Linked DNA regions of Arabidopsis thaliana. The protein of the gene in region 1 interacts with the protein of each later gene in a pairwise test. Each region holds a gene or a part of one and is shown in the gene's direction. Other genes may lie near its edges. The genes, in order: AT5G55220 and EMB3003.

Region 1 (5,956 bases):
ACGATTTGTCAAGAGACGATTTAGTGAAGCTTGTGAGTGAGAAGGAAGATCTTTTGAAGGTTCAGCAGAAAGACATAATGGAAATGAAAGATAAATTTCTTCGCACTTATGCTGAGCAGCAGAATCTTATGGACAGGACTAACCGTAATGCTGAAAGCGCCAAAAAGTTCGCTGTACAGGTTTACTTCTCTACTCCGCGAATCCTTTTTCTTCTTTCTTGTATTAACTCGTTTTGCTTTGTGTATAATCCAGTGCTGAATATGTTTTGTTGTGCTGCAGAACTTTGCAACGAGCCTTTTGGATGTGGCGGATAATCTTGAAAGAGCTTCTTCTGTTGTCAAAGAGAGTTTTTCGAAGATCGACACTTCAAAAGATTTGGCTGGTGCTACTCCACTGTTAAAAAACCTATTAGAAGGAGTGGAGATGACTGAGAAACAATTAGCTGAGGTAAAAACGTCCATTATATATATCTTTTGAGGTAAACAATGATAATAAGACTGGTGCTGAGAATGCAATTTTGTATGTAAAACTGCAGGTGTTTAGAAAAGCTGGTTTGGTGAAAGAAGATCCTTTAAATGAACCGTTTAATCCAAACAGACATAACGCAGTGTTCCAAGTCCCAGATGCTTCCAAGCCAAAAGGCACAATTGCTCATGTCCTAAAGGTACTAAACTATTCAAAGGATTGCTCTCTTTCTTGCTTTAACTCTTAAGCCTATGTTAACTTTTAGAAATCCACACAATATCATGGATTCTCTGCCATCATTTTATAACTGTTTTTTTTTCTTCCATATTTGCAGTCTGGATACTCATTGTACGATCGAGTTATAAGGCCAGCTGAGGTTGGTGTTACTTGCGCCGTGGAGAATCAAGAAGGCGGCAAAGAGTCTGCAGCTTGAAATACTTAAAACATCGAGAGTTAAGCTTTTGTTTTTAACATCTTCATGAGTTCTTTTTTTAGTTAATAGTTCTCTTTCTTTGCATATTCATTGGAGGAACAAGATTCCCATAAGGTAGCATGACTATGCTCTGTACTTCCAGGGAAGCCCTGGTTCTGTAACTTTTACACAAATTCATAAGCCAAAGCCAAACTCTTGGTAAAAGCTTCAAATCTTACATTTATATAACTTCTTCCTAACTTACAAACACACTACATAGAGATCTAGAAGACGTCAAAGTGGAATAACCGCCTAGCATAAGATACAATATAAGACATCATCACAGCTGAACACATTTTATAGTTGCTCATCCCAAATCAATATGATTCTCTTCATTCTTCAGTCCCTTCAGAATTCAGACACAGTCCCAGATTCAAATTACCAGTTTTTGCTTCCTGCAGAGTAAGTTTATAAAACACAAGTATGAACAAACACTAACCACTTTCATTACATTGCTTGAGTTTTAAATGAAGCTTACCTTAGTTTGGTCTGAGTCTGTTAGGTTCATGTCTAGCTCAACAGCTTTAGGTAATGGAGATTCAGTGTCGAATTCTTCAGTCTCTTCAATTTCAGAATCCTTAGAAATCACTTTTTCTCTATGCTCAAGCATCGCAATCTACACAAAATCAATCATTTTCCACTAATCCCACACAACTAAAACCCTAATTTAATGATTTGGGGAAAAAAAACTTACTGGAGCGTATCTGAATCTTCGCTTAGGCGACTCCTCTGTCTCACCGGAACCATTAGCGTCGGAGGCAGTAACCGTCGCTGAGGTAAGTGGAGTCCACTTATGGAGAAGTAGATGGTGTGGTGAGTTACTGTTGTTGCTGTTGTTACGACCGTTGGATTTAGATGCTCTGAAAACACCGACGGATGAGGTTGAGACACGTACCCACTTCTTCTTCCATTTCCTTACACGGCCACTGAACACCGCCGTCGCCGCCGGACCACTGTATCTCGATGACGTCCGGCTCAATCTCGATCCTACACCTTCCATTCTCTTCTCTCTCTTCTCACTAGCCGGGAAAATAGTTGCTTTATCTATCAGCTAGAAAACGCTGCGTTTTGATGTGATATAGCCACAAACGCGGCGTATTTATGTGATATGGCTTCAAAACGCGGCGTTTTAGTGAGATAATTGTTAATTAGTTGAAACGTAGCGTTTTAAAGAGAGATTTGTTGATTAGTCGAAACGCAGCGTTTTAAGGAGATAACTCTGTTTATCTGAAAGTAGAAGCAAGAAGAAGTGGCGCTTCATTCATTAGCTCTGTTCAGTATAAGCAAGAAGAGAGAGCGAAAATGGAGCTCTGTGTTATCAGCACGACTACGACGGTGAAGGCAATTAATCCGTTTCTTCCGTCTATTACACGTCGTGTTAGTTCCCGTCTCTTCCAATCAGATAGTGTGCTACAGTTTGGTGGGAGGTTGAAGAAACCAATTAGCAGGCCTTTGGACATGTCTTGTGTCTCTAGAAAAATTGGATTTTTCGGAGATTTTATGTCACATGGTGGTAATTTTAGGCTATTCGCGGCGGCTTCTCCAGCGGTTGAAACTAGTGTAAAGGAAGACAAACTTCCAGCTGATCTTAAGGTCACGGAGACTGTACAGGCGAATTCAAGTGTAAGAGACTTTCAATTTTTTTTTTGTCTATTTGTTGGAGAATATGTGTAGCATTGTGTTTGGTCTGAGTTTTGACATGACTTGAAATTTGATTTACTGTTCAATTTAGGTGAAATTGAGTGTGGAAGTTCCAGAAATTGTCTGTGAAGATTGTTACCAACGAGTCCTTACCGAATTCATGAAACTCTCAAAGGTAAACTAATATTCATCTTACATGAAGATGAAATGTTGAAACTTGATCCATGTAATGCTTGCTGTTGATTGTGATTTTACTTGGTTTGAATCAGGTGCCTGGATTCCGTCCTAAAACAAGAGTTCCAGAGAATATTATTGTTGGTTTCGTTGGGAGGCAATATGTTCTGAGAGCAACTGTTGAATCTATCTTAAAGAGAACACTTCCTCACGCCATGGAATCAGTAAGTTTTCAAATGTTTATATTAGTTTGTTTATGTTTTTCAATCTTCCGCGGTTTAATATAATGTTTTGGCCATTTGGCAAGAACAAGTCTTGTGGTGTATCTAAATTCGGTGTTTGTTGTCTTGGAACATTATGCATATGAGATTTTGGTTTTTGTAGGTGACTGGAAGGGCTTTAAAAGACTCGATACAGATTGTAAGCAGTTTTCCAGATATGGAGAAGGCTTATTCTAAGCTCAAGACTCTTAGGTTTTTGTTTCTTCATCACATATACTAAAAATCTTTTGGAGTAATGATGCTAACTAACTTAACATGTTTTTTTTGTTTTTTTTTTTCTGATTTTCTCTTGTTCCTTAGTTATGAGGTGGTTGTTGATGTTGTACCTGAACTAAAATGGAATCCTGAGGATGGGTATAAAAATATGAAGGTCGTTGTAGAACTAGGCGATGAGATAGATGCAAAAAAAGCTTGTGAAAGACAACTAAGACAGAAATACAAGTCTCTTGGTGCGTTGAAGATTGTAACCGAGCGAGGGCTACAGGTAAAGGAATGCATAAATTCCCCATGTCCTTGCATTGTTTTCTGAAACTAGTGTAAGGTTGCTAATTGCTGAGTTAAAATAGGACCGACCTTTTACCTCGTTAGTCGTTACATTTAAGTTCATCCACTATAGCTTATTATAGATTTAAGTTTTTTTAAAATAATTTGGCTATGAATCTGGCTTCATTTGTTCGTAGTTAACTCTGCAAAGATGATATAGTTGCTAGAATTGCTTTTTTATTATGTCCTAAAACCGTGTAGGTGGGAGATCTAGCAGTTGTTGATATTTCTGCTACAACTATAGATGAGGACGGGTCAACGGGTCAAGCGATTCCAGATGCTGAAAGCAAAGGTTTTAGAACTGTTATATTTCAACAGAGATTTGTGGTTGAAATCTCTTAGTCCATTGAAATCATTGCTTGCAAATGAATACTGAGATTGGCGGTTGTGTGAACAGGTTTTCACTTTGACACTGAAGAAGGGAATAGATTACTTCCTGGATTCCTTGATGCAATCATAGGAATTCGAGCAGGCGAATCAAAGTCATTCACGCTTGTGTTTCCTGAATCATGGAAACAAGAAAGTCTACGTGGCCAACGTGCTCAATTCACTGTGAGCTCGTCTTTCTATATACCAAACATAGAAAAAGATGATTACAAAGAGATCATATTTGGGACAGCTAATTGTGTATGTTTTCTTAAGGTTGACTGCAAGGAACTTTTCTACAGAGATTTACCAACATTAGATGACTCACTCGCTGATAAATTGCTTCCTGGATGCACCACTTTAAAGGAGGTAATGAACACATGGATTTTATTTTCAACAAATTATACAATTTTTTTTTTTGTCTTATATCAGTGTAATTCGCTAATGAAACAAGTAAACAGGTTGAAGAAACTCTGGCTAAAAGATGTCAAGAGATGGAGCAGGAAGCCAAGGAGCAAGCGACAGACAACGCCATCCTTGAGCAGATTCGAAAGGTCATCATCTAATTCCATATATCATTTGAAGCATTAACATCGTTGATCAAACATCATTTGCTTCTTTTTTTTTAGATGGTTGAAGTAGAGATTCCTCAATCTTTATTTGAGGAACAAGGAAGACAGTTTTATGGAGCTAGGCTTCTAGAGATTCAGGCAAGTGTTTTCAGTGACTGTTGTTGATCTCTTACTCTCTTTTACTGTCACTCAGATTCTTAAGGTTGAATATGGTGCTGCAGGGAAACATGAAGCTTAACGAAGACCAGTTGGCTTCTCTTTCAAGTCAAAAAGCAGTAAATGAGTTTCTAGAAACTCAAAGAGAGAGCATCACCAACATAATCAAGCAGAATATAGCTGTTGGAGATATCTTCAAGCGCGAAAACTTAGAGGTATATTTATATGCATGATACTCTGTCTCCAAGAAAGAAACAATACATTTTTAGTAACAAAAACATTGTCGAAATACTTGAATGCAGTTCTCAACAGATGAACTAGTTAAAGAGGTCGAAAACTCGATCTCAGAATTCAAGAAACATAAACAAGAGTTCGACGAGGAGCGTGTGAAAGATCAGGTTAGTTCTCTTGTGAATCTAAGCACTATCAGTTTCTTGAGCCTATATAAGATAACTGAAAGAGAGAGGTTCTTCTTGAATTGGTGGTTGGTTAGGTACAAGAGATTTTAGAAGGAGCAAAAGTGCTTGAATGGTTAAAAGACCGAGCCGAGATTCAATACATCACTCGTTGATTAGCATATAGGTAATGTATGTATGATTGGCATGTTCTGTTTTTGTATGAGCAATTTGGTTTTGATGTACAATTATGATTGATTTTGTCAGAAGAAGAGAACTTTGACTATATTTGAATTGATAGGTGCAATAAATTATTAACAGAAACGTTGCTTTTTATTTTGTAATTTAGGTCACTTTTTGATTCTATAGTCAATGTGTTTTATTGGATATAGATGGTATAGATATAAGTATTTACGTCGATTTCATATTGAATTTGCCAACTAACATTGAGTCATTTTGACTATGACTTGTTTTTTATTTCGACAAAAAAAAAAAGAGACTCTTCGTCTTTTCTAGTTTGGTTCTATATGGACTAATCTTCCCTCTGACCTCATCACTTTTGCTACTTGTCTTAGCTGTATTTACGAACTACTTCCTCATGATCCATGTTAAATTATGGAAAGGTAAATTAAATTTCACCAATCCGAGTAGGCTAGTACTTACACCATTTTCCCAACTAATAATAAACACAGTTCAATACAAAAAAAAGAAGTTTCTAACCAACTAGTGATTGGATTTATTAATAAGGAATAATATCGAAGATACTGCTAATTTGAAAACAGAATTTTATTCAAAATCAGCAATTCTCCGGAGAACTTTTCATCTATTTTGAATGCAAGACTATAATGTCAAAGATGTCAATGTTTGATCTGAGTATTTCAAACTAACATT
Region 2 (5,035 bases), on another chromosome or scaffold:
CTCGCCACTTGGTTCTCCTTATCCCAATGACATTTTCAGTTGTTGTTTCTTTTGTAGGCTTGGTTTCATTGGGTTCACTTTGTGTTTGGACCTTCCTCTTGCTGCGGGGGCTGCGTCCTCTTGTTTCGGGCCTCGGCCTTGTTTGTTTCTGTTTCAGGTTTGCGTACCCCTTCTCGGCATTTATCATATATGTTATGTTTTTCTAGTAAAAATTTAAAAAAAAAAAAAAAAAAAATTTCAGATTAGCGATTAACAGATGATAAACGGTGTCATAGTGTATTGATTATCAAAACAAATTGCAAGTGATTCATACTACGAACAACCGTTTGATTTTATTTTGGTGTGTGTTTGTTTAGAGAAGAAGAAAAGACAAGGTTTCTTCTAGAATTATCTATTCAGGTAAATAAACATTTATCTTTTCAATAAAATACAAAAATCAATCAATATGTGAAATGATCTGAAGAAAGTTTTGTGGGTTTCGGCCCAAAACAAAATTGTCATGTTATTCATTAATGGACTCCTAAATTATTCGTTGAAGCAAACAATTTTTGGCATTTTATTAGATATTCGATAAATAATCATAAATAATAGACTTATTTGTCTAAAAAACCACAAAAACAAATAAAAATTGTATGACTTTTTTGTGTTGTCGTCGTCGTCGTTATCAACCCTCATCATCATCATCACCAACGTAACCACCGACGCCATCATCATCGCCATTAACAACTGGATCTGTCTCCGTTTCCATCAAATCTCTTTCTCTCTCTGCAGATCAATTGATTTTTTACAACGTGATTGAAGCGGGGCTAGCTCCGGTGACGATAGTTGATTGGTTTTGTCCCTTAAGATGAGCTCCTTCAATGGTAACGAACGGCGTCGGCGGCCGTGAATCATGAGAGAGATGGCTCAGTTTCTTTTTCTTTTCTCTGATCTTCCTCTTTATCATCAGATTCTATCTCAGAAACTTATCAATGTGCGTTTGATTTTTTTTGCTTGGGTTCCCTTTACAATAATCATTAGGGTTTAGTTTTTGAATGGAATTCTCTTCCAATAAACAAAATATCATTAATGGTGAATAGTGAGGACGCAAATGATTATTGAAAAGCTTTGATTTCGAATACTCGATTGCAGATCTGCCACAAATCTGAAACTCTGTTTTTACTATTCACCTTCTTCTTCATTTGCAAGATGATTTCATTTCGTTCGTTTAATTTTTTGCTTTGGTTTCATAAATACTATCATCTTTAGGGTTTAATTATTGTGAATCAATGAATGTTTTTAGTTAGAATAGATTTTAAGAATATGAGATTTGGAAAAAAAATTGGATTTAAAAGAAGAGGAGCGTGCAAGAAGATGATGAGAGAAGATGATGAGATTATTCAGGGGTAAAATGATCAAATCGCCCTATCAAAACTACTCTTTTTCAAAGATCATACACAAAAGCCTCAAAATCAAAATTTTTATCAAAAAACATCCTCTTTTGACAATAACCCCTAAATAATATTATAAGTATTATACACTAATATTCTGCAACTGTCCAGATTATTTATCATTTACCAAAGAAATATATTAAAAATTATATTTATCTTTAAATTCAATATTTATAATGGATCAAACATCAAACAAATTTGTATACCGAAATTTTTTTAAAACACAAAATATAAGTTTCTCCTTAATTTTCTTTTATGAAATTTTCTTCTAAAAATAGAATAACATATAAAATAATACATAAGAGAGAAATCATGCTTTATTTTACAGAGAAAAATAGAGATTTACATTGGAGATAATCTTATATGAAAACTGTAAAAAACTATAAAATCAGGGCGAAAAATGTGTATGGTAAAAAAACTTAACATGTGGTTAAAGGTTTTAAAAAGATTACAGAATAGTTCTCTATTGGGCCTTCGAAAAAAGCCCAATACCCAACAACAAAAACGCGCGTGTATCACACCTTCAATACACTAGTAAGAGTCACACAGTGATCGTCACCGGTAAATTAGTTGGCAAACTCCGCCTGCTCTTCGATAATTCCGAGGAGCTTCTTCACTCTTCTTATATCTCATTTCTCTCTATCTCTCTCTCTCTCTCGCATTGCGATTAACGAAATTCGAAAAATGTCTCGTCTTCTCCAAACACCCTTCTTACCTTCAGTTTCCCTCCCCACAAAAACACGATCTTCCGTTACGGGTTTCCGGGTAAAGCCCAGAATCATCCCAATTCAAGCAAAGATCCGAGAAATCTTCATGCCTGCACTAAGTTCCACGATGACCGAAGGCAAAATCGTCTCTTGGGTTAAATCAGAAGGCGATAAACTCAACAAAGGAGAGAGTGTTGTTGTTGTTGAATCTGATAAAGCTGATATGGATGTTGAGACTTTCTATGATGGTTATCTAGCTGCAATCATGGTTGAAGAAGGTGGTGTTGCTCCTGTTGGTTCTGCTATTGCTTTGTTAGCTGAAACTGAAGATGAGATTGCTGATGCTAAAGCTAAAGCTTCTGGTGGTGGTGGTGGTGGTGATTCTAAGGCTCCTCCGGCTTCTCCTCCCACGGCTGCAGTTGAAGCACCTGTGAGTGTTGAGAAGAAGGTTGCAGCTGCTCCGGTGTCCATTAAGGCGGTGGCGGCGTCTGCGGTGCATCCGGCGTCTGAAGGAGGGAAGAGGATTGTGGCGTCTCCTTATGCTAAGAAGTTAGCTAAGGAGTTGAAGGTTGAATTGGCTGGTTTAGTTGGAAGTGGACCGATGGGAAGGATTGTGGCTAAAGATGTTGAGGCGGTTGCTGCTGGAGGAGGAGTTCAAGCTGCTGTTGCTGTTAAGGAGGTAGTGGCAGCTCCTGGTGTGGAGTTGGGATCGGTGGTTCCTTTTACGACAATGCAGGGGGCTGTGAGTAGGAATATGGTGGAGAGTCTTGGTGTTCCTACTTTTAGAGTCGGTTACACGATTAGTACGGATGCTCTTGATGCTCTCTACAAGAAGGTGAGTGTGTTTTGAAATCCGTTTGGTTGGTATGATAGAGTAGACTGGAGATTCCATTGATTGTGATAATAGTTGCTTGATGAAGTTTTGAACTTTGGGATGAGATTATGAGAGATAGCTAGTTGAATTATAAATGATAGTATCTTATGATGTGCATCAGAAGCATACACTAGTTACAAACTGTAAGTGTAAATGTTGATTTGGTTCACATTTTGTGTTTGGTTTGTTTAGATTAAGTCGAAAGGTGTGACAATGACGGCACTTTTAGCAAAGGCAACTGCACTTGCACTGGCGAAACATCCAGTTGTAAACTCGTCTTGTAGAGATGGTAACAGTTTTGTGTATAATAGTAGCATCAACGTTGCTGTTGCTGTTGCTATTGATGGTGGTTTGATCACTCCGGTGCTTCAGAACGCTGATAAGGTTCTTTTCTTTTGTATGCTTTATAAGAGATTTTGAGTTTACTCTGTATTCAAAACCGGTATCAGTGGGTTGTTCTATCTTTTGTAAACAGGTTGACATTTATTCGTTATCTAGAAAATGGAAAGAATTGGTTGATAAGGCTCGAGCCAAGCAGCTGCAGCCTCAGGAGTACAACACTGGTAATCCTACTACTAGAATATTGAAGTGATTTGAGTTTGAGTAATCCTTCAACTAGATTGTTTGAGTCTTGTTGTTTTTATTTCCCTTCCGGGTAATTGCAGGTACCTTCACTCTCTCTAACCTAGGAATGTTTGGCGTTGATCGGTTTGATGCTATTCTACCCCCTGGAACAGTTAGTGCTTTTACCTTTATGCGTGTATTTTAGTTTGTATCTTGGTTATGTCTTTTAGCCTAATAATTATGCTAAGGATAACAGCTCATTGGTTTTCTTGTCTTTGATCAATGAAGGGAGCGATTATGGCTGTCGGAGCATCTCAACCTTCAGTGGTTGCAACTAAAGACGGCCGCATTGGCATGAAAAACCAGATGCAGGTAAATGTTATTATCAACCATCGTTAGAACTTGTTCCTCTTCTCCTTTTTGTCTTCATGAAAACGTCTCGAGTTTTCCTGGGAACTTGTTAATGATGACTGGTCACTTGCAAACCCACAGGTGAATGTGACGGCAGATCATCGTGTCATCTATGGTGCTGATCTTGCACAGTTCTTGCAAACATTGGCAAGCATTATTGAGGACCCAAAGGACCTTACATTCTAGGCCAAATTACTGCTTTTCGCATCCCAGTCTTCTCTGCTTTTGATTCCATGGGAGCTTGTATTTCTGCGGTAATCAGTTTCTTTGATAGAACAAACCTTTTAAGATTAAACATAATCATTTCTTTGTTTGAGATATATCTTCTGCAACATTTTCTGCATGGAAAGGCCGTCCCACATGATTTTGCTACTGACTTCATATATATCCACTTCATGCGATGAATCTTATATGAACTGATAACTTTAGCATGATTAATAACATGAATCTTATATGGACTGATAATTTTCAAACTACAACTGTGAATGCATTACATCTTTCCTGTTTCTCTCAGCATCTCAAAAATGGAGATGCAGATGATAGTCTGTCAGAGGAAAGAAACCTCTCTAATCTCTATGCTGCTTATACATACAGATACAGTAACAAGCAAAAATTTACATATCATGCATCTGACACTTTTAATTAGAGTCTTGTGAGCATCCGTAGAACAGTCTTCATCTTTGGTCTTGCCCCAGGAGAGATGTTTATGCAGGCAAGAGCAACACCGAGGGCACGGAGCATCTGCTTTGTTGCTACAGTTGATGTTTTGCTCACTCTGAGATCAAGAATGTTGTTCTGCTGCTCTTGATGGCTCGAATGGCTCTGCACCCACTTAGCCAAATCTCTTCCTTCACTTACAGCTGGCCTTCCAGTTAACAACTCTAAAAGAATCACCCCAAAGCTGTAGACGTTCCCAGCCATTGTCACCCTCATCGTGTAAGCATACTCTGATGAAGTGATCAAAAGTGAAAGATTAAGAGAGCTGTTGTTTCTCAGACAAGCCCATATAAGTTTTGTATAATGTGTTCACCTGGTGGAATGTAGCCGAT

Evidence for each region.
Region 2: the proteins of AT5G55220 (region 1) and EMB3003 interact in a two-hybrid assay, tested with the Arabidopsis thaliana proteins (one large-scale study listed by BioGRID).

What each region holds. Positions count from the first base shown.
Region 1 is NC_003076.8:22,395,438-22,401,393, forward strand, and holds AT5G55220 (trigger factor type chaperone family protein), read left to right. Parts: upstream 1-2,019; 5' UTR 2,020-2,239; coding exon 2,240-2,560; intron 2,561-2,669; coding exon 2,670-2,753; intron 2,754-2,847; coding exon 2,848-2,976; intron 2,977-3,136; coding exon 3,137-3,225; intron 3,226-3,333; coding exon 3,334-3,517; intron 3,518-3,777; coding exon 3,778-3,868; intron 3,869-3,973; coding exon 3,974-4,128; intron 4,129-4,218; coding exon 4,219-4,311; intron 4,312-4,403; coding exon 4,404-4,496; intron 4,497-4,571; coding exon 4,572-4,652; intron 4,653-4,735; coding exon 4,736-4,885; intron 4,886-4,972; coding exon 4,973-5,068; intron 5,069-5,163; coding exon 5,164-5,241; 3' UTR 5,242-5,419; downstream 5,420-5,956. Other genes in the region: MGE1 (Co-chaperone GrpE family protein), read left to right, coding at 1-179, 280-447, 536-664, 800-898; AT5G55210 (uncharacterized protein), read right to left, coding at 1,270-1,332, 1,416-1,553, 1,632-1,937. UniProt on the Arabidopsis thaliana protein: Involved in protein export. Acts as a chaperone by maintaining the newly synthesized protein in an open conformation. Functions as a peptidyl-prolyl cis-trans isomerase.
Region 2 is NC_003070.9:12,587,164-12,592,198, reverse strand, and holds EMB3003 (2-oxoacid dehydrogenases acyltransferase family protein), read left to right. Parts: upstream 1-1,975; 5' UTR 1,976-2,114; coding exon 2,115-2,972; intron 2,973-3,203; coding exon 3,204-3,395; intron 3,396-3,486; coding exon 3,487-3,574; intron 3,575-3,676; coding exon 3,677-3,747; intron 3,748-3,863; coding exon 3,864-3,947; intron 3,948-4,067; coding exon 4,068-4,172; 3' UTR 4,173-4,473; downstream 4,474-5,035. Other genes in the region: AT1G34440 (uncharacterized protein), read left to right, coding at 1-11, 58-157, 357-399, 772-851; AT1G34420 (leucine-rich repeat transmembrane protein kinase family protein), read right to left, coding at 4,629-4,933, 5,017-5,035. UniProt on the Arabidopsis thaliana protein: The pyruvate dehydrogenase complex catalyzes the overall conversion of pyruvate to acetyl-CoA and CO(2).